4 linked regions of the Mus musculus genome follow. The protein of the gene in region 2 purifies or fractionates together with the protein of the main gene of each other region. This does not show direct contact. Links are inferred from orthologs where the notes say so. Each region holds a gene or a part of one and is shown on either strand. Other genes may lie near its edges. The genes, in order: Pole3, Smarca1, Bptf and Cecr2.

Region 1 (7,371 bases), on a different chromosome or scaffold from region 2:
AGCTTTTTATCTGGCTCTGTACTTGGCCTGCTAGTACAGTTTGGAAAGTCCTTTTGAAGGGGGAAGGTACAGGGTAGTCTTGAACTTATTTTTGGATATTACAACAGGGAAAAAACTTATGGAAGACCTCAAAGATTCTTTCCAGATGTTGTATTCCTTACTTTTAAATCCAAATCTCCATTCCCAGAAAAGGTTTCTTCTTAGAATGTTAAAGTCTAGTTAAGGGATTGAGCAGAACAAACCAAAGACATGGAAGAATTTGGTTTTCGGTTTTGTTTGAACATGCTAGCTAAGCAAGCGCTATGTCACTGAGCCCCTTCCATTCTTGACAGCCTTATGGCGGAGATTAGATGGTAGGGTGAGCCCTTCTTACACAAGCCTTGAATAACAGGTTTAACTATGGATTTGATCTCATTGAAAGCAAAGGTATATTCTAGGAAGATCTACTTGGTACTTAGTACATACAATTGAAATTGAGTTCAAAGGACGTCACAGGATTACAAATGGGCCTTGAAGGGTAGGTCTAGCACCGTGCTCTTGGGAATTAAGAAACAATGTTTCTTCTGGGAAGGAAAAGGCCTATTATTAACCAAAGGACCACTGCAGTTCTTGGTGAATTTTGATTTATAAATTTTACTTATGACTTGAGAACTGTGTGTACTGGAGAACATAGAGCTGTGGTTAATAGCCGGGTGTGGTGGCGCACGCCTTTAATTCCAGCACTCGGGAGGCAGAGGCAGGTGGATTTCTGTGTTCGAGGCCAGCCTGGTCTACAAAGTGAGTTCCAGGGCTACACAGAGAAACCCTGCCTCGAAAAAACCAAAAAAAAAAAAAAAAAAAAAAAAAAAGAGCTAGTAGAGGCAATAGCAATGTTGCTTGATGAGAATACTTGAAAGTACTTAGAACTTAATAAGTGAGAGCTAGCCGGGCAGTAGTAGCACACACCTTTAATCCCAGCATTTGGAAGGCAGAGGCAGGTGAATTTCTGAATTCGAGGCCAGCCTGATCTACAGAGTGAGTTCCAGGACAGCCAGGGCTACAGAGAGAAACCCTGTCTCAAAAAACCAAAACAAACAAACAAACAGAAGTGGGAGCTAGTGAGATATGCAAAGTAACCAGGAGAATCTCAGGATATGTTGGCTGTGGTTAAGAACAGTGCCCTTAACTTGTGATACTCATTCACCTGCTGGTAATGCAAGACACAAGACTGTGTGCCTATGTGTGAGGGTAGGGGGAGAGAGAGGGGGGTCTTGGTGAGTCCTTTGCAAAAGCACATTGTATGAGTCATCATTTTAAACAAGAATGTTCTTTATTTGTAGAAAGCATTAAAATCTTCTCAACAGTCTCCAGTCACTCTCACCAAACTCTTCCCTGTATTACTAGTAAACAGTGTCCAACTATATTACATCACCTGTCAGCCTCAAGTGCACAACTAAGACAGGAAAAAGTGCTTGGAGCACTCAATGGGGAAAAAGAAAGGCCAACAGACACGTTCGAAGCCACAGCAGTGGTGCTACATTCCTGAGCACCATTCCTCTTACCGTAAGGTTCAGAGGTGTTCTCAACTCTCTTTAGAAGGCAGGAGATTAGGACTAAGGAATCTGAGGACCTTGCACTTTGGAATATGACATATGTTATCAGAGTCCCTAGACTAGAAGATGAAATAAGTAAGAGGAGGAGAAAGCCGGGCTGGGAAGCAGAAGCCAGAGAGATGGAGACAGAACAGGCTGTGCCTGGAAGAAATAAAGTCTCTGGAACTTGTTATGAGCCCAGGGAATGAAAAGCAGCAGCCATAAGTCTGGGAGATGGATCTGGGATTTTATACCTTCCAGGAGGTAGCACTAGGACCTACCATGGCAGGCACTGAGTTACCTCCAAGATTAAGCCCCTGCTTTTAAGAATTGGCACCTTTTTTGACAGATTCTAATCAACACTCAGAATTAAAGAGTGTGTGTCCTATGAGTGCAGCCACCCCAGACGACTGAGCATCTACAGTCACTAGAGGACTACAAAGCTAAGTAAGTCTAGAAAGCCAGACACCAAGTAAGTAATGCTACCATCAGGTGAAGACATTTCCTCGTTCGCTCGCTCACAGCTCCTTAGTCATCTCCTAGAGAGCAGCCATTCTAAGCACGAGTTCCTATGGTCAACTACTGTACAGTCAAACTGGGTGACCAGGCTCAAAGCCCCATTGTTTCCCCCTGAGCCTTTAGTGCTTCTGTGACTTGGAACACTGCAGGCAACATGGATGTTATTACTTATTCAGAGGGGCAGGGAAATGGGATCAGAAACTAGCTAGCCATATACTTTAAGTAGACAAGCAATACCAAACTATGTAGTCACTCAGAATCGCTTATTCAAAAACATCCTAACCTGCAGACTGATGACGCATGACCGGTTTCTGTAACTCAGATGCTCTGAGCCTGGGAAGAGTTCTTTTTGATCTTTCTGGTCAGCTTTTATTTTGATCTCAGGCACCAGTGCCGAAGATGGCTCTGCCTTGCAGGGAAAGCCTTCACACAGACATGTCTCAGGATCTCAGGGTCCCCTCCACCACGCCACAGTCTGCCTACTCTCTCCATTCAGTTGTCTATTTCCTCCTCTTCGTTCTGGTCGTCCTCGTCCAGTCTCTCTTCATCCTCCTCCTCCTCCTCTCTGCTTTTGTCTTGCTCTTCGGAATCCTTTTTGTCTTTGTCCTTCTTCTTTTGCTCCGAAGCCTCCTTCTTGCCTTTCTGCTCCCGCCTGTACGCTGTAAGGAAGCAGGATATTATGGTTTAATTAGACAAACCGAGGCACAGGTGGAATAACCAGGCCCCTATCACATACCCGAGATGGTACCAACTAAACAGAGGGGAGTTATGACCAGTCCTGTATTATTGAACGGGACTTAATGGCACTGATACTGATGAGCATTTTTTTTATATATGGTTTAAGAGACAGAAGAGTACGTGGATACCTTCTAGAGCTTCTTTCAATGGTGTTATGAATCGCTGGAATTCCATCTCTTCCATGGCTGACAGCACGTCACTGGCATTGAGAGTCTTGCGCTTTCCTTTCATTGCGAAGTTATTGGCACTGGAAGAAAGAGCAACGCCCTTCAGAAGCTGTCAGAGTGGGTGGAGGCATGACCCCCAGGAATGGGGTGGGAAAGCCGTATTTATCGTAGATGAATGGATTGTGTGTGTGTGTGGCATGGCTCAGTTCATCCCCTTCCCATACAAAGGGCTACGGTAACCGTCTTGTTTAACCTGCTCCAGAATGTGTGACAACTGGAAGAGAGCCGTAAGTCGCTCTCTACTGAGGCAGGGAACTGGGGCCTGTAGGTTCCAGGCCACGAACGCGGGGTCAGGATCCCGCTGCGCCTCCCTTCAGCCTCTGCTCAGCTCACCAGGATGTGGCATACAAAACGAAGACACTGGCGGCGCGGGAGATGGCGCTTCGGGCCTCCTTGGAGATGTTGACACCGTCCGGGAGCTGCGAGGAGAGTGGAGATGAACACACACGCGGATTCTGTTAACCTTCTGCCCACACGTCCGCCCTCGACCCATTCGCCAGCCCGAGCGGCTCACCGCCTCCTTGATGATCCTGGTGATGACGGCGTTGGGCAGATTTAGGTCCTCGGGCCTCTCCGCCATTGCCTCCGCTGGGGCCCGACCCTCCTGCTCAGGTCTCCAGACAGTTCTGGTGTCTGGACTTCCCGCGTCGCTAAAATATGACCCTCGGAGGCTTCCGTCCTACCCCACGTTGCCAGTGTCCCACAGTGCTTTGCGCACCACAGCCTCTCTGCTACATCAGCCCCGCCACAAGTCCCCAGTGTAGCCCAGCTTTCCATGTCGCAATGGTTTAGGACCATTGAAATTTCCATCCGCTTCCACGGCATCCCGGACGTTCCACTCCAGGCTTGTTTCTCTACTACACATCGCGAGAGCTTTCGCACCACACTAAGTTTGACTCTCTGAGGTTTCCGTCGATTCTCCCAGCGTGCCGTTCGCCGCTGCTAGGCAACCGTGTGGCCTGGTGCCTAGCTTGGAAAGGGTAGGCGTAGACTGAGCCGGGAGAGGCGGGACTCGGACTGCCAAGTGGGCGGGGCTCTCTATAAGAGGTGGGCGGGGCCAAAGCTTTAACGCGCTTTCGCAATCTCAGCATTGTCTCCAGAGGCTCAGAACGTAGTAACTCTTTGGAATCTGCTTTGATCCCGCAAAATCGCGAACGACTGACACTTGAGTGCCCACCGCCCTTTTTTTTTTTTTTTTTTTTTGGCTCGGAACTCAGTGTAGATTTTCATTCAATTCTATTGCACCGATTGATGCAGTAGTATTGTCCATCTTTAATCTTATGCCCTTCACAACTTTGTGATAATTATATTAAGGATAAGTGTTAATCTAAAATTTCGTTTAAAAAAATGCCATTACTTTACTAGGACAGCAGTAACAAGGGCAATATCAAAAGACGCCTGATGAGACTTCGGAGCTCAATTTGGTCTGGTTCGGTACTGAAAGCGCAAGAATCATTTGATTGTAAGAATAATGCATTGTATTCTCATTCAAAAACCCAAGTTAAAGTTGTATTTTTTAAATCATTAAGTGATTCATTGTATATTTTTCTTATCAAAAATCATCACTTGATTTTACATTTTCAATGTTGCTTTAAGTTGTATAATTAAGTACTGAAAAAAATACTCCTACTGAGAACTAATGCTGGATTATTTCCTTCTTTTCTTTTCTTTTCTTTTCTTTTCTTTTCTTTTCTTTTCTTTTCTCTTTTCTTTCCTTCCTTCCTTCCTTCCTTCATATCTCTCTCTCTCTCTCTCTCTCTCTCTTTCTTTCTTTTTAAAACATGTTGTTCCAAAACGTGTTTTTTTTAAAATTTTTGATGGGGACATTACAAAGAAGTTTTTCCCTATTTGGAGAAACAAAACAAAAACAACCCGACAGGGTTGGGATGATGAACAATACTGAGGGATTGTTCTGGTGGAAAGAACTCTGCACTTAGAACAGGCCTGGATTAAAGATGTCATAAGCCTTAGTTCCAGCCACTATTTATCTAGAACTGGTGCTGTCAGGCCTTGTGATCTAGGAGAGAAGCCAGAAAGCTAACATTCTGGACCATTTCAGTTTTTAAAACATTGGCTCAAAGTGCTTGCCAAGCTAAGTAGGCCAGGTGCAGCCCAGGCCACTAGATTCCTATCTCTAATTTAAATTAGAAGCTGTTTAGAACAGAGAGATTGTTTATTGCTACTCTCTACGCCCCAAACAGGTCCACTCATTTGACAGTCAGTAAATGTGTTGAATAGAAGAAGAAACCGACAATGTCCTTAAAAGTTAGAAAGGGGACAGGGTGAGATGACTCAGTGGATGAAGACACTTTTGGGTTGAAGACTGTGTAGTCTCTGGGCTCATTTCAGGATGGCCTTCCTGCTGACCTTCTCATGTGCCCCATGGCACCCATGCCCACCAAAGAAATGAATACAATGGAATTATATGTTAAAAGGAATAAGATAGTTGTAGTGACTGCATAACATCTTTAAAAGAGGGATTGATAATAGTTTAGTATAACTTTATTTATTTCTCTCCCTGTGTGTATAATGTATGTACTTGCATGTCTGTGAGTATGGACATTCACATCCCTTGCCATGGTGCTGGTGTGGAGGTCAGAAATTGGGCACTGCCTTCTACCTTAAGACAGGGTCTCTTTTTGGCTGTCCACAGTATCTGATGACAGGGCAGCCCATCAGCTTCAGAGGATTCTCTGCTTTGTTTTAAGTAGGGGCAATGGGATTACAGATGTCTGCTGTGCCTGGTTTTATGTGAGTTCTGGACATTTGAACTCAGGGCCTCATGCTTGGCCCTCCAAGTGTTTTAGCTACTGAGGCAACTCCCCAGCCTGATATTATTTACTGGGTATTTGTTATAACTTCATACACAGAAGTTTATATCTTATATGATTTGTCTACAATTTTAAAATATATTTTTAAAAGATTTGTTTTATGTATGTGAGTGCATTGCAGCTGTCTTCAGACACACCAGAAAGGAGCATCGGATTCCATTACAGATGGTTGTGAGCCATCATGTGGTTGCTGGGAACTGAACTCAAGACCTCTGAAAGAGCAGTCAGTACCCTTAACCACTGAGTCATCTCTCCAGCCTGTTTCTATAATTTTTACAAAAATAATTAAAACATTTTTGAGATCATAATATAATGACATCATTTCCCCTTCCTTTTTCTTCCTCCACACCCTCTCAAGTACCCCTCCCTTTTTCAAATTCATTGCCTCTTTTTCTTTGTTGTTACACACACACACACACACACACACACACACACACACAGAGGTACAATCTGTCCAGTCAGAATAATGTTATTTGTATGTATGTTTTAAGGGCTGACCATTTAGTATTGGATAATCAACTTGTATGGTCTTCCCTGGGTGAGACTATTTTTCAGATCTTGGCATTCATTAGTTGCCTGTGGTTCTTTATCTAGGGTTGAGGCTTTTCTTTTCTGTCAGCATGTTGTTGTTCACGTGCCCTTATTCGGCGCGTGTTTAGGCAGTTATGTTGGTGGAACTTCATGAGTGTAGCTTCTGATATTTACAGTCTCACTGCAAACCCCTTGCTTCTCTGGCTCTTCTCATCTTCCTGCCCCTTCTTCTACAGTAGTCCCTGTGCCTTAGCTGCAGGAGCTGTGTTGCCAATGTATCCGTAGGGACTGGGCTTTGTGACTGCATTCTGATTGGACTTTGTTTTCAGTAATGATCTCTGTCCTATGCAAAGAGAAGGTTCCTTGATGAGTGGTGAGGACTGCACTTATCTGTAGGTAGAAGGACAAATGTTTAGAGTGTAGTTAGGGACTGTCCCGGTTTAGTAAATGGATGGTTGTAGGTTCCCCTTTAAGATCCGTGACGTCACTAGCCCTGAGTAGATGACAAGGCTTCCAGGACCAGGTACATTTCTCACATGTTGAGCAGGGTCATAAGATCTATTAGAGAGTTGTTGGTTCCCACCAAGGTATGCATGCCTCTATTGCAACCTTAGAGTTATGGCACCATGCTGGTCATTGATGTGGTTTGTAGGGCCATAGCTGGGTAGTACTGTTGGTTGCTTCTTTCCTTTGGAAACCTGAGTAGCACCTTCTGGTACCATGAAAGATAGTCCCCAGGGAGGAGGCTCTCAGGCTAATCTGAACCCCTTGTCTGAAGTGTATTGTGTCTTCAGTAATAGGGACTTACTTTCCTCCTTTGCGGGTAACCAAGGGCAATAGTAATAGTCTATAATGTTTTAGGAGTCTCTTGGACAACCCTGACCAACAACTAAAGAGAGAGCTTCTCATACCTGGTGTGGTGGTTTTTGTTAGCCGGTCTATGACTCTTACAGG
Region 2 (7,746 bases):
GACGGAAGACTCGTACTGGCTTCTTCTGACCAATGCGATGTGCCCGATCCTAACAGAAAAAGTCCAACTGTAATATGCTAGAGACTGTAGACAAGAATTAGACATATAACTACAATGCTATAAATATCTGAAAATAAAATTCAGACTTCAATCTCTCTAAACCTATCACTTCTGAAAGGAGGATGATAAATGTTAAGGATTTCCAAAGATTTCTGGGAACAAAGAAATCTTGAAGCGTGCTGTGCTGCTACTGGGAAACTTCCAGAATGTCATAAGGCAAAGCCTCTTTGAGATGAGGACAAACAGCAGCTAAGGCTTCTGCACTGAGTTACTGGGCAACGTTAATTCACTAAATGCAAACATCTCCAGATGAGCAAGGAGTTTCTAAAGGAACAAAGAAGTTAGCAAGGGCTGCTATGCTACCAAAGTCTGCTTTATCTCACCATCAAGCAGTTCTTTCTGCTTACCAAGGCAATTCTGAGATACATAGTAAAAGCTCATAAATATTAATGAGATCTTCATAATTTTAAGATTCTAGAATTGCTCCAATGGTTTACAATTAGCAAAGGTGGCAACTTCTGGCAAAATATAAGCATGTGGAGAGTGTGTTTAAAATGCAAAAACTGACAGAGCAAATGAGAACAGAGAGGAGGTGGGGAGAATCAAAGAAACAGGCTTGAAAACAGTCCCTATAGTAAATGGGAAAACAATCCAATCCAATAACCAAGTGGCAATAATCTTTCAGAGAGGATTCAATACTGTACAAATATGTAAAACTTTAAACTCCAACCAGTAATCTCTGAGTGACCAGATTGTGATAAAAGGTAAAATAAAACATTCTTTTAAATACACACACACACACACACACACACACACACACACACATACACACACAACTCGATGGTTCTGTGGGTAAAGTGCTTACTGTTCAAGTATTAGGACCTAAGTTGAGGTCTCTAACACCCACATCAAAGCTAGGCATGGTGCCCTTCATTTACAACTCCAGCACTGAGGCTGGGAGTTGGGGCAGGGCTGGGGGCACTCACCAACCTGTCAAGCCAAAGTGGCAAACTCCAGCTTCAGGAAAAGAATCTGTCTCAAGCATAAGAGAGAGACGCAGTTGGGGAACACATCCTCATGTCAATCTCGGGCTTCCACATGTGCTCTCTCAGGAATACACGCCCACACAAATGTACGCAACATGCACATTCACACACAGACAGCAAACTTTCTCTTCTTCCATTTTTACCTATTCATCGCAATTATTTTATTACAGACGTTAAAATCTAACGTTTTCGAATTTCAGTACTAAAGTTTGTTTGTTTGTTTGTTTGTTTGTTTTTTAAACAGGATCCAGCCATACAGCCCCAGCTGACTTGGAACTCATTAGTAGACCTCAAACTCACAGAGAGCCCCCTGCCTCTGTTTCTGAGTGCTAGGACTAAAAGCCATCATGCCTGACCTAAAGATTTTAATAGGCACTTGTTAAGCAAAATAATGAGATTGTTTATCCTTCTCATTAAAATAAACTCAGAAAGCCTCCTCAATACTCAAGATAGGAAAAAGTTGACATACATATAGATTAGATATAAATTAGATATAGATATAGCTGATATAGATATAGGTTATATACAAATTAGATATACATATAGATATAGGTATAGATTAGATATAGATAGGTAAGTTTTACACTTTTATTTGAAGCATATCTGTTAGCGTTTATTTTTTTATTTGTTTTCACAATTAATTCAGCAACTTTAACTCTATCTAACCTTTACAAAAATCACTCCAAAACTGTTATACTGTAATAACGCATTATCTTTGTTCTATGTAAACAATAACATTCTGTGGTTCAATGATTTCCTGATAGCATTAAATGTTACTAACCATAGCTTGTAAATCAACCTGTGGATTCCAGTCTGAATCATATAGGATGACCACATCAGCACTTGCCAAGTTAATTCCGAGTCCTCCAGCCCTAGTACTCAGCATAAAGATGAATTTGCTGCTATTTGGAGCATTGAAGGCATCTATCGCTTCCTTTTTTTAATTAATAAAGAAATATAAAAAGAGAAAAATTGAATTAAATTCCAAATTTTAAGAAAGAGAAAAGTTAGCATGCTCACAGAAAATACTTTTATACTTGTATATAAAATTCTTCATAACCTAACAGTTTATAATATTCTTCCATCTTCCACACTGTTTATCTATACTTACTGTGTAAGTTGCTGGAGAAAATATGTCTTTATACATGAAATTTGCAAGGGTTAACCAATAGAGACAAACATAAAACAATCATACAAATAAATTTAATTAAGCAAATCATTCGTTTGCATCCTTTGAAAATAATAGTAAAACTATTCCAATTAATTAAAAGCTGAAATGTATATTTGGGAAACATATCAGAATGTCAATATCATTCTGAGGACTGATAAACAAGACAGAAAAGTTGAGAAATACAAATGAGAGTAAGATAATCTGTATCAGTGTAATGACAAAGGAAAAATAATTGAGAAAATCGGAATGACATGTCCAGGAATATTTAGTAATGAATCTTTAAAATTAATACATTGTCAATATCCTCTATACAAAGTTCATGTAGAAATTAATTAGGAAAATGCTGTCTCCAATAAAACAATGAACCTGAAAGGAGAAGAATTTCTACTCACAGAATAAATACAAATATACAAAAACTGCTACAAGAATAATGTTAAATTCTCACTAGTTATCAAACAGATGCAAACAGACAATATAATGACATGTTAAAGCTAAATCAAAATATTAATGCTCAAAGCTGATGAGGGAGCAGAGGGACATTGCTTCTGAGAGTGTACATTGAAACAACCTTGCTAGAAAGCAACTTGACAACATGCACTGAGAGCCTTAATACTGTTCATACCCTTTGACCCAATAATTCCACTTCCAGGAACTTATCCTAAGGAAAAATATCAGAGATGTGCACAAGATATATGTATAATGACTTTCACTGTACTATTATTTATAACAGTGAAAAATTGGAAGCAACCTAAATCATCAGCAATAACGGGACATATTATGTACAGTACATCATTAAGGCTAAATATTTTCCTAAAACTATAGTGATAAAAAGCAATATAATCCTGACTAAAAGTACTAATATTCTGAACTTTATATATAGCACATATATAAAGTTTGGTACCAACTTGTTACATATTATTTCTCATAAAGATTTTCCAGAGATAATTGATTTTGTAAATCTCTCAGTACTCGTATATTAAATATATAGTCACAAAATGCTCAGTTATTTTTTAATGCAATAGAAAAAGATGGTCTAAGTTCTAGTGAGACTTGGTGCCTAGCATTACTATAGTCAGTAGAACATGATACCGTGGAGTACAGAACACAAAAAGGTTTGATGACAGGCACCCTGGTGTAAAGAAAATTGCAAAAACCTGGAAGTGAAGTACAACTCAGCCATATATCCACATCTGAAACACAAGCCTTTGACTCCTCTGAGACACAATTTAATGTGGCACAAGTTTATCAGTACCTTGACTCAGATTATTGGGAGAATCATTGAGAACCACTGGGTGCCTAGCCTATATTAGCTTCTTGCTAACTGTTAAGTCCTTTCCCTATAAAAGTGAAACCAATTAAGTCCAATGATGGTCAGAGGCAGAACTAGCTGAGTTAGTTTCCCATAGGGAAAGGTTAAATGTCTGAACTATAGAGGAGAGGAAAAATCTCCACTGCTTATACACAGAGCAAAGAATCAAATGTAAAAAAGACATGAAATGATTATATGAATAGCAATATAAACAAGACATCTCCCAGAGGAAAGAATGGGTCTGACATCTCTGTACTCAAATGTGATGCCTGTAATTCAAAATCTTTGAACGAAGAATAATACTTGAAGATTAAAAAAGAAAAACACACATGCACAAAGAGGAGGATTCAAGAACTCTGTGAGGGGGGGTGGGGCAACATTTGGGATATAAATAAATGAAATAAAATAAATAATTAATTAATAAAAGAAACAACAGAAAAATTTAAAAATTAAAAAAAATTAAAAACACAAGAATTTCCATATAGCTAGGTAATGAATAGGGAAATAGGTCAGGAGTGACAACAGGCATTTTGAGGCCAGATAATACCTACTAAATATTGCCTTGGTATCCTTTTCATAATAGCAAAAAAGGGCATTCATCTTGAACAGTAATAAGTGTTATGCTTTATGAAGAAATGGGTTCTCAGTACTAAGTCAACAAAAATTTCAAGAAAGAACTGTCTCAGAGAACTTCTAGCTATAAGGTGGGAAATAATTGAAGTTTTTAAGCATTCGGTTATGTACAAAAGTTACCATAACTGTTTCCTTTAATAGGTAGCAGAAAAGCCTTAACATAAAAGTCTGTGTGCTGTTGGCAAAGCTGAAGAATGCGATAGCCAGGCTTCAATAAGGGTGTTCATAAGAGACAGAAAGTCTTGTCAATGGAAGGAACTGTGGAAGTAGAGGAACATAAGCTGAGATTCCTGTGGCCTGAGAACGTGTCCTGAAACAAACAGAAAGACCTGTGTGCAATGTCCTGTCACACAGAACTCAGTGCACTGCATGGATATAAACTGTTTGTACCTATTATAGCCACCAACCCTCACACTGTCATCAGGAAGAAGTATTAGTACCAATTTTATCTTTGTGATACTATCAAAGATACTGAGGTTTATAGAATTAAATGGCCACTAGAAAGTGGTGGTGTTAGTGCTAAAAATCAGGTCTTCAAACCAAGTTCTGGGTACTTCCACTATACTGTAAAATCTTCTTCATTTGCCTATAATGTGAGGAGAGAGAGAGAGAGAGAGAGAGAGAGAGAGAGAGAGAGAGAGAGAGAGAGAGAGAGAGAGAGAGAGAGAAAGAGAGCTAAAGGATCATAGAAAAGAGAGAAAGAAATAGCAAAGCCATCCACAAAGTGATTTAATGGGTTTAAAGTGCCTTTCAATCATGACTTTTGTGATAGATACCCTAAAGACTTACAAGAATTTCAAAATATGAAGAACACACTGGGTGCTAGGTAGGTGTACTTATTCATACTTACAAACCAACATTTTACCACCTAAAATCCCAAACTCATAAGTATCTACACTTATTTTGTCATACTTCATTTTTACAAAAGCCCTCCACAGTCAAGACTGTTCCTTCAATACTAGAGTTGGTTAATCATAAATCATCCAAATGACCACTACTAAACTCCACAAATGGCCAGGGTCTACCATGGTACACAAATTCAGAAAGAAAAGAAACATATAATCAGAAGTCGGGGTGTCAGTTTGAGAGACAGTAATCAACTGGGGTAGTGGCCAATAGAGATAATATTCTTAGAAAAGCATATCTCTGAAGAGTCTAGGATGATTTGGGGGGAAAAATCAGTGGAATGGAAACTAAGTATGGAAGAGTGATGATAGAAGAAAGATCATGGTGGCAGTGAGGAAGTCAGTATCACTGAGCAGTAGAGCAGACCAAAATTGAAAACAACAGTAAAGAAACATTGTGCAACTGAGTGCTAATTTTTGACGTCTTGCTTCACTTTCTTGTCCTGTCCTCACCTCTCTTTCTTCATGTGGGGTTTGTCCATCCAGTCGAGAATACTCATAACCACGCCACATACAATAATCCTCCAAAATGTCTAACAGTCGAGTCATCTGGCTAAAGATGAGAACTCTTGATCCTAAAATAGTTCACCAGAAAATAGTTACACAACATGTGTAAAGTATGAAAATTATATAATGAAATACATTATCTGTGTGCAGTTAAGATAGGCAAATGATTTCAGGTACCTTGAAAGCCAAAAAGAAAATAAAGCATCATAAACAATCTAAATAATATGGCATATAAACATGCCAACACAAACAAAGAATGTTACGCAAAATTATCATTTGTTAAACTAAAAGGTTTTCTTTAGGTCTTAAAAAAAATCTTGCAGACATCATGAATCTTGCAGGCAAATAGATGGAACTAGAAAATGTTATCCTGAGTGATATAACCCAGACCCAAAAAGAAATGCATGGAATGTATACACTTATAAGTGGACATTAACCATAAAGTGCAGGATTCCCACAGTACACTCCCACAGACCCAAAGAAGCTAAACAAGAAGGAAGACCCAAGTGAGGATACTTAAATCACACTTCAGAGAAACAAAATGGTCATGGGAGGAAAGGGAGGAAGGGAACTGGGTGGGAGAGTGGAGAGGTTGGGAAATGGGGGGTCAAGATTAGTTATGGGGAGAGGCCCAGGAGAATTAATGGAAATCTACAGCTGACTGGGGTGAGGGAAAATGGAGAATCGCTAGGAAGGCCCAGAGACCAGGGATGGGGGAGTTTCCCAGGAGTCATTGCCAAGAAGACTAACATTACGGATGTGAAACCTGTAGAGGCCATTTCCTGTAGTCAGGCTGGGCCCCTGGGGCCAACTAATATACAGCCCAACTCAAAACCCATCCCATGGGCAATCCCTGACATTTTTAGTGATACTCTGTTATGCTTGCAGACAGAACCCTAGCATAACTGTCCTCTGAGGGGCTCTACCCAGCGTCTGACTGAAACAGATATAGAGACCCTCAGCCAAACATTAGACAGAGGTTGTGGACACCTATGGAAGAGTTGGGGGAAGGATTGAAGCCCCTGAAGTAGAGGGAAACTCCACAGGAAGACCAACTAAGACAACAAACCTGAACTCCCGGGAGCTCTCAGAATCTGAACTCTGTTGGTAGAACATACACTGGCTGGAAATGAGGCCCCCTGGCACATAGGTAGCAGACAGGTAGCTCAGTCTTCATGGCTGCCCTGTCTAGCTTCAGTGGGAAAGGATGCACCTAATCTGGCAGAGACGTGATGTACCAGGGTGAGAGGATACCCAGGGGGGAACCTAATGCTCAGAGAAGGGAAGGAGGGATCAGGGGAGGGGACTTGGTGAGGGAGGGACCTGGAAGAGGAGCAGCGTTTGGGATATAAACAAATAAATAATGTTTTTTTTAAATCTTATACATATACTACCATGACTTATATTCTGCCTTTTCTTTGTCCCAAGGATCTACAATGGTCCATATGATCTCTCTCTGGATTATTACTGCAACTATCTTCACCTTGGCTTCTGGTTTTACTCTCTCATTCCCACAGAGTGCTTCCAGCGTTATCCTCCTGACATCTAATAATGTTACTTCCTATCATCAAGTCTTCTTTAACTCCTCTATATCCAAAATAAAAGTCTTTGAAGTATGGTTTTAAAGACCTTCCATAATTTGGTGCATAATGGTGCATAATATGGCAGTATCTATCCTTACCAAATTCACGAAATGCCACACTACATTACATCCCATAAATGCCTGCGCTGTGGTCCCTGTTTCACTGCCCTAGACAAGCACACCTGTTGCATTTTTGATGGCTCACTCCTGCTTTCAAACTCCAGTCTTCACTTCCAATATCATCACTGTAAAGACGATCCCAATTCCCATTTTCTCAACAGCATGATGAAGTGCACTTAGCACATCGAACTGCAACTCTTCTTCCTCACTACACTGTGAGCTTCTCCAAAGCAAAGCCATCATTGTAATCTTTGCATTCCTAGACTAGAGGAGAATTCCTGGCAAAGAGTAAGTAAGTACTCAACAATGTCTTCTAACCTAGTGGTTGAATGAATCTAAGACATTTTATTCACATACAAATCATTATGAGTTTATTCCATGCTAACTAAGAAAAAAATTCCTCACTCACCCTG
Region 3 (8,311 bases), on a different chromosome or scaffold from region 2:
AACACTAGGGTTCTTAGATAGATGGAAGGTAATGGCTTCAGAGGTTGGATTCTTTTTAGATTCGGAACCCACAATTCTAAAGTTCTCTGTATCCTTCTTAAGAATTTCTTTCCTGAGTTCAAAGCCAGCCTGGTCTACAGAATGAGTTCAAGGACAGCCAGAGCTATACAGAGAAACAAACAAACAAACAAACAAAGAATTCCTTTCCTGGGCTGGAGAGATGGCTCAGCGGTTAAGAGCACTGACTGCTCTTCTAGAGGTCCTGAGTTCAATTCCTAGCAACCATCTGTAATGGGATCCCAATGCCCTCTTGTGGTGTGTCTGAAGATAGCGACAGTGTTCTCACATACATGAAATAAATAAAATCTTAAAAAAAAAGAAAAGAATTTCTTTCCTGATTAAATGACCCAGAGTTACTTTTCCAAGACTGACAACTAAAATGTCTATGTAATGCTAAAAACATCTCTCTCTGTATATATGTGTATGTATATATATATATATATATATATATATATATATATAGTATAGGTCACAGGTTACAAACCTTACTGTAACCAGAAAACATATCATATGTTTGGATCAATCTGCAGAATTGGGGTTTTTCCGTCTGTCTTACTCTGTAGTACAGGCCACTAGCCTTAAAGCTCAAGATGCTGAGGTCAGAGGACCGTTTGAGGCCAGGAATTTGCACCAGACTGCACAGTACTGTGTGGCCATGATTAAAGAAGCAAGTAAACAAACAAACATCAGAACCCAACACTGGCACCCATCTATGTCCATCAGTGAAGAGGTTAAGGCAGGAAGAATAGCAATTTCAGGACAGCTTGTACTGCACAGTGACACTGCTTCAAACCAAACCAAACCAAACCAAACAAAGAGCTATACCTGGTGTCATATGCCTGTGAAGTAGAGAGAGAAGGGTCAGGAGTTCAAAGACAGCTTCAGCTACATAGCCAATTTGAGGCCAGCATAATACCCTATCTCAAAACAAGTTAACATTTAAAGATATATTTGTTATCTTTTTTTTTTTTTTTTTTTAAAAGATTTATTTATTTATTATATGTAAGTACATTGTAGCTGTCTTCAGCCACTCCAGAAGAGGGAGTCAGATCTCGTTAAGGATGGTTGTGAGCCACCATGTGGTTGCTGGGATTTGAACTCTGGACCTTCGGAAGAGCAGTCGGGTGCTCTTACCCACTGAGCCATCTCACCAGCCCCTATATTTGTTATCTTTAAAAAATCTTTGACAGCCGGGCGTGGTGGCGCACACCTTTAATCCCAGCACTCGGGAGGCAGAGGCAGGCGGATTTCTGAGTTCGAGGCCAGCCTGGTCTACAAAGTGAGCTCCAGGACAGCCAGGGCTATACAGAGAAACCCTGTCTCAAAAAAACCAAAAAAAAAAAAAAAACTTTGACATTTATTTATTTGTGTTTTTTTAAAAAGATTTATTTATTATTATATTTAAGTACACTGTAGCTGTCTTCAGATGCACCAGAAGAGGGCGTCAGATCTCATTACGGATGGTTGTGAGCCACCATGTGGTTGCTGGGATTTGAACTCAGGACCTTCAGAAGAGCAGTCGGTGCTCTTAACCACTGAGCCATCTCTCCAGCCCTTATTTGTGTTTTTGTGTGGGTTTGTAGACTTTGAAGAGAAATTTTTGGGAGCTGGATCTCTCCTCTCTTTATTTTTGAGACAGTATCTCTGGGTCGCCCTTTGCCTCCTGAGTGCTGGGATTAAAGGCTTGCTGTTATACCCACAAGGTTGTCTTCTTGTGGGTTGCAGGGATTGAACAGAGGCCAAAAGGTGTGGTGGCGAGGATCTTTACCCATGAGGCATCCTGTTTGCCTGTCTGTTAAATAACTTTACTCTGTCTACACACACACACACACACACACACACACACACACACACACACGATATATATATATATATAGATAGATAGATAGATAGATAGAGGCATAATGGCACATGTGTCACCCCACAGCCCAGAGTTTGATGCCAGGCTAGGTCACTCTATCTAAAAACAAATGTACAAACACGTTTCAGATAAAACCTTTATAGTCTCTTGAAAAATATAGAAGATTTGAAACCTGCATGGAGGGACCTGTCTGTAATCCCAGAGTTTGTGAGGCTGAAGCAGGAGGTTCACAAGTTTGACAGCAGCTTGGAGTTCATAGTGAGAGTCTGGCAAAACCCACCACTGCAGGGTGTGGTGCCATATACCTTTGCTCCCAGCAGAGGCTGGTGGATCTCTACTAGGAGCTGGAGGGCAGCCTGGTCTACATAGTGATTTCCAGGCTATCCAGGGCCTTACAGCGAGACCTTGCCCTAATAAAACAAAATAAAACACCCACTATCACCAAGGAATATCAGAAGATCTGCTTATTTGGGCCTGCATTGCTATAGCTGCAGCCTTTGTTTACCCAAGAACTCTTGTGGCTTACTTTCTTTCCTTTGGTGTCTTATGAGGTCCCTGTGGGTAAGTTTACCACTCTCAGAGATCAACCAAAGTGAATACATAATAACTTAGTTGGCAATTAGTAATTTTCACTTCATTTCTATTCACCGAACTATATTGTAATAAGTCAGTTAGTTAGTGGGCTGAATCCTATTAACGATTTTTCTTCAAATTACTTTTTCTGTTCTCACATCTATTAATAATCACTCATATAGGTTCCTTAAACCTTTCTTTTCTTTCCAGAGTCCACCCCGAGGACCCTGTGTTGAGCCACCTCAATTTAGCAACATTTGGTGCATGTGCCTGCGATTTCACTTTAGTGACTAGCACCCTAGGTCAAACCAAGACTGGTAATTTGTCAGGTAGACATTATTTCCAGGTAACACAAACACATAACTTTGTGAAGCCAATTCTAGACAGGACGCCATCCTTCCTATCCTTAAGTTCTGGCTGAGGTGTGGAAGTTCGTAGCTGGGAAGAGAGAAAGGTGCCTGGAGGCCGCTAGGAACCACGCTCTGGAATTTAACCCCGGGCTCTGAGGGTGGGAACTCAGGAAAGTCAGTGAAACCACGCTGGGGGTGTGGCTCCCAGCGTGCATTCCTGGAACAACTTCAGGACCCTCTAGATCCAAGCCTTTGGGAGCTCTCTATTGGGACTGACTTAGCTCCAGCTCCTGTACCTGCGTGGGTGGCTTTGCGTAGTGACTGCCCCCAGTCTGTAAGTCGTGCCTCTACGCGAGACGCCCCTCTCCCCTTTTTTTGCATTAGTTTCCCAAAAGGACCGGCGACTTGGGAGGAAAATTCCCTGTTTTCCGGCCCCGGTTTGGGAGACACGCATTGAGGTCTCCCTAAGACCTCAGCTGAGGGGGAGGTGGTCTCCCAGGAGGAGACCCCAGCCTGGGGGGACACCCCACGCTACCCATCTCGCTCCTGCGCCGCCGCCGTGCAGCCGCGCAGGGGCGCTCCGGGGCCTCCCCGCCCCCGCCGCGCCGCTCCCGCGCTCCCCCTAGCGGCCGCCGCGCCGCCTCGCTCTGTCCCAGGCTCGTCGGGCGGCGCAGCTCACGTGACCGCGCTCCGGGCCTGCGGCCGCTGTCGGTTCCCCCAGTCACCGAGCGAGAGGGAAGAAACAAGATGGCGGCTGCAGGCGATCCGGAGCGGGGCCCCGGCAATTCGGACTGAGCCTTCTCCCTCCACCCCGCCGCTGCCGGGCCGCGCCCCTCCCGCCCGGACCCCGGCGCCCTCCCCTCCCCCTCGGCCCCGGCGCCCCCCGCGCCCCTCCCCCACCCCTTCCGCTCCCCCCCCACCCCCCCGCAAGCCGCGGCTCCGACATGAGGGGCCGGCGGGGCAGGCCGCCCAAGCAGCCCGCGGCTCCTGCTGCGGAGCGCTGCGCCCCGGCCCCGCCGCCGCCGCCGCCGCCGCCACCACCGCCGCCGCCACCGCCGCCGCCGCCGCCGCCCGCCTCCGGACCCATAGGGGGGCTGCGCTCGCGGCACCGCGGCAGCAGTCGGGGCAGGTGGGCCGCCGCCCAGGCTGAGGTGGCGCCCAAGACCCGGTTGAGCTCGCCCAGGGGGGGCGGCCGCAGGAAACAGCCGCCACCGCCACCGCCGGCCTCCGGCAGCAGCGCCAGCGGCCCGGGCCGGGGGGGCCGAGGAGGCGGGGGCGGCAGGACGGGGGGCGGGGGCGGCCACCTGGCCCGGACCACCCCGGCCCGCCGCGCCGTCAACAAAGTGGTGTACGATGACCACGAGAGTGACGACGACGACGAGGAGGAGGACATGGTCTCGGAGGAGGACGAGGAGGAGGAGGAGGATGGCGACGCCGAGGAGACCCAGGATTCCGAGGACGAGGAGGAAGATGACATGGAAGAAGACGACGATGACTCCGATTATCCGGAGGAGATGGAAGACGACGACGACGACGCTAGTTACTGCACGGAAAGCAGCTTCAGGAGCCATAGTACATACAGCAGCACTCCAGGTAACCACCCAGGCCGCCGGGAGACTCCTTCCCCACCTCCTCCCTCCCCCTGGCTTGCTCCCTCTCCAGTGCAGTGCATCCTGCTTCCTAGCTCCCCCCCCCCTTCCCGGCCTGTCCCCCACGCGGAGGCCACGGCGCGTCTAGTGACAAAAAAAAAAAAAAAAAAAGAAAAAAAAGACAAAAACAAAACTAGATTTGCAAGAGGAAAGAGGCGCATTGTTCAAAATGGAGATTGCATTGTTGCAGTTTGCAGGCCACAGACTCGTTCGCTCTTCTCCCCCCTCCCTCTTTATCCCCTTCAAAATTTGTGCCAAGTGCGGTGGCTCCACCAGGCAGGATTGAAACTTTGGCACACAAGTATCCATTGAGTTCGTCTTTCTCCCCTTGTTTTGGTACGAGTATTTTATTTATTTATTTTGCGATGAAAGAAGCCTCCTGCTTTGCAAACCGTTGCATGTCTAATACGTTTTGTTTTAGATTTAAAAGAAAAATTATCTGTTCCTTAAAAGAGAATTTCGATGGTGGTACCACACCTAGACGTTCTCCCTTTCCTACACCCTAGTTAGCTAGTTTGGTAACTGTTTTGGAGGAAGGATTGTTGTTCGGTGAGCTTGGGAGCTTCCTGGGGTCCTGAGCGCTTGTTTGTGTTCTTCGAGTGAGTACTCATGGTCGCGTGCAACAGTTGCTGGTAAATGCTGATTAAAGAGCAAAGCAGAAAACTAGACCAAACCAAGTTTGGCAATCCTTCCGATTTAAAAGTACTCTGGTTAAGTTCCAAATAAAAGTATAACACCACGGGGCCGTGTGTCCTAACCAGATTGATTTTGACTTTGCGTGGGAGATGGCAGTTTCGTGGCACCTGTTGCCGAAGATGTGTGGTTGATCATCTAGGCGCAATTGCCAAAGATGAACTTTTTGAAGTCACGGTATAGAAGTGTCAGATTGGACCCGACAGGACTTTTTCTTGTTATTCTGTTTCTGAGGAAAAAGCCCTTCCTGAATCAGCGGTGGGCTTCATCAGTAGTGGTGAATTCTCTGATGTTTTCTCGAATAATTTCTTGAGGTGGGTCCTGAGATGTGGGTCAAGTAAAAGGCACATGTGCAATTGCTCCTTTGTATTAAATGAATAGTTATGGGGGGGGGGGACCCTTAACTTGTAGCAACAGACTTTCAGGCTTTTTCTTAAGTTTTTATTCACCTGATTGATAAAATTAAGATCTAATTGTAAGGACATTTACAAAGTAAGTGAGGACATATGAGGGTTTTTCCTATGAGAGCCTGTCTACCGTTTTTCAGAGAAGATGAGGGTACTAGGAGTGGTTAAATTTAAGTGTTTTCATTTATAACTGCTTAAGATCCTAACTGCTGCAAGTATGAGAATTAAGCCAGATTAGATTGGTTAACACCAAGTGAAAAAAGCTAGTTTCCTTTGCCTGTCTTGAAGAAGGTTGCCTATTTTATGGGACCTGGAGGGAGGGGCTATCTTTTAGCAAGTTTAATTTCTTGCCAACTTAGTTTAGTGTGTCTTTTATAGTACTAGGTTTTACTTTAAGAAATTACGAGTTGGGCATCTGCATCAAGAGCTCAAAATTGAGCTGAAGACAGCAGTAGTGGAGGAAGTTAGTTTTTGAGTTAGGACTGAGGCATTTTGGCAGGGTAGTTCAGCTAACTTTTTAACTCCTTGAAGACCTGGCCAACAGTTCTGATGAACTGAAGACCATGAAAATGCTGAATTAAACTGCAATTTGTGGTTAGGGATTCTTTTTTTTTTTTTTTTTAATTTATTTATTTACATTGTATGTAAGTACACTGTAGCTGTCTTCAGACACTCCAGAAGTGGGCGTCAGATTTCGTTACGGATGGTTGTGAGCCACCATGTGGTTGCTGGGATTTGAACTGGGGACCTTCGGAAGAGCAGTTGGCTGGCACTCTTAACCACTGAGCCATCTCGTCAGCCCTTTCTTTTTCTTTAAGATTTATTTATTTTATGTATATGAGTACACTGTGGCTGTACAGATGGTTGTGAGCCATCATGTGGTTGCTGGGAGTTGAACTCAGGACAGGACCTCTGCTTGTTCCAGCCCTGCTTGCTCCGGCCCAAAGTTTTATTTATTATTATATGTAAGTACACTCACTGTAGCTGTCTTCAGACACACGAGAAGGGGGCGTCAGATCTCATTACAGATGGTTGTGAGCCACCATGTAGTTGCGGGGATATGAACTCAGACCTTCAGAAGAGCAGTCAGTGCTTTTAACGGCTGAGCCATCTCTCCAGTCCAGCCATTATTCTTCTTGAATGACACAGGCTACCTCTGTGTACGCTTATCCTGTGATTATGGGAAGTAATAACTTTAGGAGTAACTTTTGCTTTTAAACATTCTGTAACTCCTAACAGACATTCTAACATAAAAAGACTGATTGGATAACTTGCTGTTAGTAGGTGGGAAATTTGATAATTCTCTAGTAGGTGCCATAATTTAAATGTTCAGGTTTTTTTTTTTTGTTTTGTGTTTTTTTTTTTTTTTTTTTTTTTTTTGAGACAGGGTTTCTCTGTAGCCCTGGCTGTCCTGGAACTCACTTTGTAGACCAGGCTGGCCTCGAACTCAGAAATCCGCCTGCCTCTGCCTCCCGAGTGCTGGGACTAAAGGCGTGCGCCACCACGCCCAGTTTAAATGTTCAGTTTTTAAGAAACTCAAGTTGGTGTAACTAGGTTTGGATAAACACTTCAACTCTTCCTAACAGCAGACAGTATACTTTTTAAAAAATAACTTTTAAAAAGATGTATTTTCATTGTTTTTTTTTTTAATTATGAGTATGTCTATGTGAGTGAGAGTGGTAGAGGTGTCTGCAGGTAGCAGAGTGAGCTGGCGTTTCAGATGGTCTGAGTGCCATGCGATGTGGTGCAGGGATCTCACACACACTCAGGCCCTCTGGAAGGGCAGCAAGCGCTCCTGTTTTAAACTGTTCTTTCATGTGGGCTGCCAGGCCTTTTCCTTTCTTTATTGGCTTTATTAACTTGAGTGTTTGGTCTTTTGAAACAAATTACTTCTTCAGATGATGGTAAAAGGATGTTACATTTTGTGTTTTTGATTTTAAAGTCTGTCCACTTGTTTTTAGTGAGTATCCATTCTGGGAGTGATTTGCTGAAACCAGGATATTGTGCCATTAGTTTTATAGTTGGTCCTTCTGGAAGGAGACTTTAGGTCAATGTGTATATTTTTGTTTTTTTTGTTTTTTTCTTGGTTTTTTGAGACAGGGTTTCTCTGTGTAGCCCTGGCTGTCCAGGAACTCATTTTGTAGACCAGGCTGGCCTCGAACTTAGAAATCTGCCTGCCTCACAAGTGCTGGGATTAAAGGTGTGCACCACCACTGCCCAGCCAATGTGTATATTTGTAAAGTGTAGATTAAGATACACTTAAGCTGCTCCAGAACAGTCAGGGCTACACAGAGAAACCTTGTCTCAAAAAGCCCAAAGGAAAAAGAAAGATACACTTTCCAGCAGGCCGGGCTGGGTGTGGTACTCCACACCTTTAGTCCTAGAATTCTGGAGGCAGAGGCAGGAGGATCTTATGAGTTTGAATATGGTCTGTAGTCTGGTCTATATAACAAGCTCCGGTACAGCCAGGACCACATAGAGAGACCCTGTCTTAAGAGAAAAGAAAAGAAAAGGAAAGAAAAGAAAGGCAGGTCCCAAGAAGGAGAGTTGGGAGATAGAGCTGTATGCTATACAATCAAGGCTAAAGAGGAATGTCCTTTAGGTAATGTAGACTAATTTGATTACAAGTTTTTGTAATTTAGAACATTGGCTTGAGTATTACTGGCAGATTAAATCCCTAGTATAAGAGCTGTGTATGTAGTTCACCTGGTACAGTGG
Region 4 (7,746 bases), on a different chromosome or scaffold from region 2:
AACCAAACAAAACAAAAGAAACAACAACAAATAAGACCTAAAAGTGCATCTCACATGTAAGTGCCTTTTGGCTGTATGTCAATCATGTAAATTCATGAATTATGTTTTTGATACCTCTATACCTAAAAGGACTTCAGTTATCCCGAACTCGAATAGCTTATAGGAGGCTTGACATCACTTTGCATGTTATCTTCATATTCTGTATGAAAAATTACTCATGAAATGACACACAAAAGTCAGGGGAAAAAATAAGAAGGCACTGTAAATTACCTGGGTCTTCCTCGGGCTCGTGTGTTTCAGTCATCTCCTGTGTACTCCCAGGGTTGTCCAATGCAGGCTTGGGCGCCGACACACAGACTGAAGCTGAATGAGCTACCTGCGGAAAGGGACCAGGTAACTGGGGAGGAGTGGGCTGGCGGGGGTGGTAAGGCACACCTGGGGGACAGACTCGGGAGGAGAGCTGCTGCATGGCAATCATTTCAGGGCTGTCCATCATGGATTCCCCTCCTTGTGCCCCCCGGAGGGCCTGGGAGGGCCCTCTGAATCGAGGACTTGGTGCTGGAGTTGGAGGTGGCTGCAAACGATGTCCAGCAGACTTACAGGGTGGCTGCATATACCCCGAGGAAGGAACTCCATGAGGTAGAAAGCTTGACTGTTTAGTCCACTGGTTTGGTGGGATAGGTTGTCTCATCACTCGGCCATCCATCATATGACCAAGGGTATGAGGGTGGTGAGAGGGTCCTGGCCCCAGGTGGGGCTTCTCATCTGGCCCCAAACGTCCAGGGTTTGTAGTACCATGGTTCCCATTCCAAACAGCAGGGTGTGCTCGATTTAGATACTTGTATGAATGATAAATATGACCGGGAGGAATTTCAGAGCTTTCAGGAAAGTCTGGGGGTCGGGCTGGAGTCCCACCATGCCTAGAAGGAATAAATCCTGCCTGGAATGGAGCTGGTGGATACATGTTTCCATCTTGACTGGGACAATTCATCTGCCCAAGCTGTAAGGATGGGACATGTGACCCCATATTGGAAAGGTCTGGAGCACTGAGCAGGGATCCCCGATGGTTACTAATTCCAACTGGAGCCTGATAACAGAAATGGTAAGAAGAGAAGAATGTGAATTCACAGAACAAAACAAACCTTGAAAGATGCTACCTCTTAATTATTGCTGCAGAACCGTCCCAGCTGTCTCTCTGCAGACTGCTTACCTGTATAGCAAAGGGTGGGTGTTGCAAGGGCTCTCCTGGGGGAGCCTCTGGGATTCTAGAGGAGCCATGTAAGTTGGTGGGATCTGATCCTTGAAGAGAGCCAAATGTTCCTGGTGCTGCTGGCCTCTGAAGGCAGTGAGTAAAGCAGAAAGGGTGTGAGGGAAGAACAATCAAGGAAAACAAGTCATTCCCTAAGGATTGCTATTAATGTGCCCTATGGCAAGGAACTGCCTCCAATCTCAAAGCAGCTTCTCTCTCCAAGAAAAAAAAAAAAACACTTATCATTTTGTTTTGAAAAACAAAAACAATCACCTTCCGAACCACAATTAGAGAAATTTTAGGCATTCTGGATACAAGTACAGCCCACAATTATTTATTTATACATGTTTGACTAGGGTCTCATGAAGCCAGGTGGGCCTCAAATTTGTTGTGTAGCTGAACTACTTCTGGCTCATCTGCCTGTCTGTGTGTGTGTCACACAAACACACACACACACACACCCATTTTTCAAGACAGGGCTTCTCTGTATTAACAGTCCTGCCTCTGCTTCCCGAGTGCTGGGATTAAAGGCCTGTATCACCATCTGGCCTGTCTCCATCTCTTAAGTTCAAACATCACAGGTGTACAACCACCACACTCACTTTTATGCTGTGCTGGGGATCAAACACACACGTTTTCATATGTGCTACATCTCCAGCTCTTTATAATGAAATTTTAACGTTTAAACAATATATAGGTGAGTTTTTTTCCTTACCATCTGGTTTAAAGGGGGTGCGTGGCTAGGCACCCTACCACAGTGCAGGGGGCGAGAAAAGCCTTGGCCATGTGATGTGCCCACCTCTGGAGGGAGTTGTATGGAACTCCTACTCTGATCGTCCCCTGAGGAGGCAGCTCGGCGTGCCGGGGGCAATGATTTTCCCCCATTCTCCACTGGTGGCTGTTTCCTGCTCGACCCTTCTGTGTCTCTGGAGCGCGTCCAAACATGGCTTCCACTACTTCTACCAGACCGACTTCTTCTTTTTTCCCGTTTTTCATCCTCTTTGATCCAAAATTCTTCATCTGTGTCTCCATCTTCACCAGGAAAATGTTTTGTCATGGCCCGATGGAAACACCGCTCTAAATTGTCAGACATCTTGGTATACTCTAGAAGGAAGACAAGAAGACTGACCACCAGGGTACATATTTTACTATACACAAAGACAATTATTGAAAATAATAAGGAAAGCTACTTCTGGAAAATATTACACTGCAAAGCTACAGATACAATATGAAGATCTGGTTTCTATAAGTATTCTGCTCAAGGCTTTATGGCTGTGACATAAACTATAGTATGTTATCTCAAATTAGTGAAATTTTAATTCTTTAGACTAAGTTACTCAAACTAGTATGTACTATAATTGAATTTGCTTTGTTTTATAGGCTGTAGCATTTTTGTGTTGATGCATGAATCAAGACAAAAGTCTCAGGATCATTAGAAAGTTTTGCTGCATGGTAAGTTGAGAGGAAGCCCAGGGATGTTGCTCAGCAGCAGTGCTTGCTGAGCATCCAGGAAGCATTAGATTCCATCTCCTATGTAAAACACAATGGCAGGAATTCAAGGTGGATTCAATCTTGTCTGTGGTAAAAAGGCCCAGTACAACACAGGCCAGACTTCTCTGTCCACAAGGCCGAATGAGAACTCCTGGGACACTGTGTAAGAAACTAGAACCACAAATCCCATGACTGTTGGTATACATTCTGTCGGCCGTCCTAAGGCAAAATAGGAAACCAGCAATGGTGGCACATCTGAGATTAACTGTTGGTCTTACAAAGGACCTGGGCTTAGTTCCCAGCACCCATGTGGTGGCTGACAATCATTCATAGCTCAAGATCTAAATAAAGGATCCAACAGCCTGTTCTGATCTCAGTGGGTATAAGGCACAGTGCACTTGTTTTAAAAATCCAAGGTAAGCTTGGACTATAGCAACTCCATCTCAAAAGAGAAGAGAGTAAAGTCTGAAACACAGACACATGCATGTGCAGTCAGCAAAAAGGCCTCATCCACCTACCACTACTGTCACCATTGTATTTTCGGCAATTTCTGAACATGGTCTTCATGTCATTTACAAATTCCTCCTTGTTACAATATAAACCTCCGTTTAATTTCTTCTCCATGCTTGAAATATCCATGGGGATCTAAAAATGGAACATAAAATACTGTAAGTGGCACAGTGGATTTAATCCCAGCACTGGAACTCAGGAGGACTGACACAAGTTTGAAGCTAGCCTGTGCTACATAGTGACTTCCAGGCTAGTCTTGGTAATAGTAAATGAAGCCTTGTCTCAAAACAAGATAAAACCAATTAACTGCATGCCGCCTCCAATCACTTTTTATGATGAAGAGCAATCGTGACATTTTAGATTTTCAAGAGACTGGTATAGCTAGGAGTATATTGGCACACACTTTTAATCCCACTGCTTAGGAGACAGAAGCAGGCAAATCTTTCTGAGTTTGAGGACAGTCTGGTCTATGTAGTGAGTACAAGATCAGCCAAGAAAACACGGGGTCCTGTCACAAAACAAACCCTAACAACACATACACTTGTATGTGTGTCTGTCTATCTGTCTGTCTGTCTCCCTGATATTAAGGAGGACAGAAAAGCAAGAGAAAAAAACAGTTCTAGAACCCTGAGTTTGAATAACTTGTCCTCCGAGGTAGTAGTGTGGCTTTATGAGGCTGCAGAACATTAGGAGGTTGGGCCTAGTTGGAGGAGTGGATTACTGGGGGACGTTTTACAAGTTATACTGCAAGCCATTTACAGCCCTAAGTTCTGGTTGGCCACCAAGACGAAAACAAGCTCCTACCACCACAGAGCTGCCCGTTACCATCAGTATTTGTTCAGTATGATGGAAAAATGACTAATATAGAATCCAAGCAAAATACAGATGCTTAAGTACAATTTAAAAGATACCTTAATAATCTGGTAATAGTTGGGGGCATACGATTCATCCACAGGTTCCAAGAAGGGCCAGGAATCCTTGTGAGCCTTCACCACATCTAGAACTGGAAACCAAAAAGGAGAATATAACTGACACATTCCTGTGGAAAGATGTTCATCAAGAACACCAAAGCTGAGAATGGCAACTAACCTTTATACATGGCTGTGAAATCGTCATCCAATTCAAAGCTGTGAACCACAAAACACAACATTAGTTTAACTGTGACTGCCATTTTTCCTTAGCTTTCTTGGATCAAATACAGATTGAACAGTGCTTTTTACTTTCCTTAAGCAAGTCCAAATACTGATCCCAACTCACTGGAAACATAAGGATGGTAGATGGTGAACGTTGCAAAAAGGACTATCATATTCCCTACAACGAATTCCATCTCCAATGAAAGACTGGCTTAAATGATCTAGAACTTTATTATGACTTTGTAACTACAAACATATTATAAGAATATTAACCATATCAGTTTATTTTTATGAAAATAGGGTATTGTTATATAGTTGTCCTGGAGCTCAGAGTTTGTTGCCTTTGTTTATCCAGTGGTGAGATTAAGGGCATGCACTTTCCTTTTTGACCCTTGTCTTCCCCTGCCATGGTTCTATTCTGGCATACCTTCATGACTAGCTGGTATTAATGTACAACAGCCAATGCCACTATTTTAAAAAGTAAGATACTTCCTGATCATGATGGTGCTTTTGTAATGCCAGCACTGAGGAAGCTGAGAGAGCAAAATGGCAAGCTCTCGTCTTAAAACGTAGGTCTAAGCTGTAGCTTAGTGCTAGAGCACTGCCAACACGAATACTTAAAAGTATTGGGGATTCAATACCTAGCACTGCCAAACAAGCAAATATAAAATATTCTATATATGCCAAAGGAACAAGTTCCCATTAATAGTAAATTCTGGTGGCATTGAAATGCTGGGGTAATAAGAACCCATCTTTTCCTGTGCCAGTAGATTCTAAGACTGGAAAGGAGGGTAGTGATTCACTTAAAGAGTATGTATGTAAACAATGCATTTGAGTCAGATCTGGTTTTAAGGCCTACCACTAACACTTGCTATGCTTTCTTACCATTAAAATGTAAAAGCCACTGCCTTCCAAACAGGCCTTTTTGTTACAAGGATTAAATGAGAGATGTAATTTTTTTTAAAGGTGCATTAATGAGTACACGGTTGCTGCCTTGAGACACACCAGAAGAGGGCGTCAGATCCCATTACAGATGGTTGTGAGCCACCATGTGGTTGCTAGAAACTACACTCAGGACCTCTGGAAGAGCAGTCAGTGCTCTTAACCACTGAACCATCTCTCCAGTCTGAGACATCTAACTTTTTAAAACCAAGAATTTTATTTTTGACCATGTATATGTGTCAGATTCCCCTAGAGCTAAAGGCACTTGTGAGCTGCCACGTGAGTGCTGGGAATCAAACTCCAGTGACTTGAAAGTTGATTTTTCAAGACAGCGTTTCTCTGCATAGTTCTGGCTGTCCTAGAACTAGCTCTATAAACCAGAGCTGACCTCAAACACACAGATATCCGCATGTCCACTGCCTGGTTTGAGAGATGCTTTTCATAAAATATGCTTCTTTTTGTTTTTTTTGAGACAGGGTTTCTCTGTGTAGCCCTGGCTGTCCTAGAACTCACTCTATAGACCAAGCTGGCCTTGAACTCAAATCCGCCTGCCTCTGCCTCCCAAGTGCTGGGATTAAAGGCTTGCGCCACCACTGCCTGGCCAAAATATGCTTTTTTATTGCGTGCGTGGGTGTGTATGTACTCCTGAGCCATCATGGTCCATGTGTCAGAGGACAATTTGCAACAGTCAGTCCTCTCCCTACAACATGTAGGTTCCAGGGATACAAGTCAGATCATTGGGCTCTGCGGCAAGTGCTTGCAGAGAGAAGTGCTTAAGGTGGCCAGCTGCTATTACTAAATACTCACAGGTCCTTGGTCTTCTTCCCTTCCCTCATAGGAGAATTCAGGTCCAAATGGGAAAGTTCTGGGGGTAGCTCCTTGCCTTGAGCCAATAGCCATGCTCGTTCTTCCCTGAGCTTTCTCCTCTTAGCTCGATCTATAATGAATACACGAACATAATCCAGGTAAGCACCTGTGCCACTGCTCCTGGGACACCTGTGAGCCATCAGTTCTGCGCCAAGCAACTGCATTCATTTCACTCAAGTACCACAGCAGACAGAATCTGTGATGATCCCAGTTAAATGTCACTTTAGGCATGAAACTCTTTTGCTTTTTAGAGGGTGGTGGGAGGGAGACAGGACTTCGTGTACCCCAGGTTAGCCTCAACCTTATTATGTACCCAAGACATGAACTCTTGATTCTCCTATCTGATCCTTCAAAAAAGGAATAGCCTTGCTCATTATCATAAACCTGCCTGATATAGAATGGGTGTATAAAAACAATGTCACTTTGGGGACTGGAAGGATGGCTCAGTGGTTAAGAGCACTGTCTGCTCTTCTAGACGACCTGGGTTTGATTCCCAGTACCCACCTGGTGCTCACCACTGTCTGTAACTCCAGTTAAATGGGGACCTGATATCCTTACACAGTCATGCATATAGGCAAAACATCACTCACTGGACATTTAAAAAAAAAAAGTCACTTCAAAAAACTGCTTCAGCTGGGTGTGTGGTCACACGTATACTCAGAATGCTTGAGAGGCTGAGGCAGGAAGACTGCTGCAAATTAAAGTCAACCTGAGCCACATAATGAGACCACATCAGACCACACACATGGGTGTGTGTCTTGTAATTTAAGTATTATTAATCTTATTTACCCTGTTCCCCCCCAATAAAGTCTTAAGGAGAGGGAAAGAGAAAGGGAAAAGGTCTTGAGAGGGCACACAGAGAGAAGACATCCAGATGTTCAGCTGGTAAATGCTACCATTAGCCAAGAAAGCAACTCATGTTACTCTTTGTGTTGTAAACCTATAGATAAGCACTTGAAAGACAGAAGGAGGTAGATCTCTGTGAGTTTTAGGCCAGTTTGGTCTTCACTGTGGCACCCATGTCAGCTATGGCTACAGGGAGACCCTATATACTCTAAAAAACAAAAAACAACAGACAAAAGAAAAATCTCACTATAGCAAGACTGCAGTCTACAAAATTTTGACTCTACAAAAATTGCCTGGCACTGGTAATCTCAATGGCAACATTCTGACATGCGGTATGACAGGAAGATCCAGGCTAGGGATGTAATTCAGGTGATAAAGTGTTTACATAGCACGGAGGAAGTCCTGGGCAGAAAGCATCACATAACCTGGCAGTGGTGCCCCCATCTATAATTTTAGAACTTGAGAGGTAGAGACATGAAGCTGTTCAAAATGAGTTCAATGTCAGCCTGAGATACATAAAACCCTGTCCAAAAGACCAAAACCAACCAATCAACCAACCAACATCAAACATTCCCTAAGCATATACCATTGCATCTATGAAAGTAGCTGCCAACATCTTAATGTCTTTTCTTTCTTTAATTCTGTATAAAATGTATAGGACACAGCAGAAATCCAAATATAAAGCAGGGCATTGAAAGGACAAATACA

Evidence for each region.
Region 1: the proteins of Smarca1 (region 2) and Pole3 purify together in Homo sapiens (affinity purification with mass spectrometry; 3 studies listed by BioGRID and IntAct, with this or other methods). This does not show direct contact. The link is inferred for Mus musculus from reciprocal best matches to the Homo sapiens genes SMARCA1 and POLE3.
Region 3: the proteins of Smarca1 (region 2) and Bptf purify together in Homo sapiens (affinity purification with mass spectrometry; 4 studies listed by BioGRID and IntAct, with this or other methods). This does not show direct contact. The link is inferred for Mus musculus from reciprocal best matches to the Homo sapiens genes SMARCA1 and BPTF.
Region 4: the proteins of Smarca1 (region 2) and Cecr2 purify together in Homo sapiens (affinity purification with mass spectrometry; 3 studies listed by BioGRID and IntAct, with this or other methods). This does not show direct contact. The link is inferred for Mus musculus from reciprocal best matches to the Homo sapiens genes SMARCA1 and CECR2.

What each region holds. Positions count from the first base shown.
Region 1 is NC_000070.6:62,521,362-62,528,732, forward strand, and holds Pole3 (DNA polymerase epsilon subunit 3), read right to left. Parts: upstream 3,654-7,371; 5' UTR 3,636-3,653; coding exon 3,570-3,635; intron 3,475-3,569; coding exon 3,389-3,474; intron 3,076-3,388; coding exon 2,957-3,075; intron 2,750-2,956; coding exon 2,583-2,749; 3' UTR 2,437-2,582; downstream 1-2,436. Other genes in the region: 4933430I17Rik (uncharacterized protein C9orf43 homolog), read left to right, coding at 4,457-4,517. UniProt on the Homo sapiens protein: Accessory component of the DNA polymerase epsilon complex. Participates in DNA repair and in chromosomal DNA replication.
Region 2 is NC_000086.7:47,852,679-47,860,424, forward strand, and holds part of Smarca1 (probable global transcription activator SNF2L1), read right to left. Parts: coding exon 7,743-7,746; intron 5,700-7,742; coding exon 5,578-5,699; intron 2,041-5,577; coding exon 1,888-2,040; intron 50-1,887; coding exon 1-49.
Region 3 is NC_000077.6:107,127,400-107,135,710, reverse strand, and holds the start of Bptf (nucleosome-remodeling factor subunit BPTF), read left to right. Parts: upstream 1-3,563; 5' UTR 3,564-3,788; coding exon 3,789-4,437; intron 4,438-8,311. UniProt on the Homo sapiens protein: Regulatory subunit of the ATP-dependent NURF-1 and NURF-5 ISWI chromatin remodeling complexes, which form ordered nucleosome arrays on chromatin and facilitate access to DNA during DNA-templated processes such as DNA replication, transcription, and repair.
Region 4 is NC_000072.6:120,751,156-120,758,901, reverse strand, and holds part of Cecr2 (cat eye syndrome critical region protein 2 homolog), read right to left. Parts: intron 6,263-7,746; coding exon 6,133-6,262; intron 4,378-6,132; coding exon 4,340-4,377; intron 4,254-4,339; coding exon 4,162-4,253; intron 3,386-4,161; coding exon 3,259-3,385; intron 2,354-3,258; coding exon 1,965-2,353; intron 1,337-1,964; coding exon 1,211-1,336; intron 1,088-1,210; coding exon 271-1,087; intron 1-270. UniProt on the Homo sapiens protein: Regulatory subunit of the ATP-dependent CERF-1 and CERF-5 ISWI chromatin remodeling complexes, which form ordered nucleosome arrays on chromatin and facilitate access to DNA during DNA-templated processes such as DNA replication, transcription, and repair.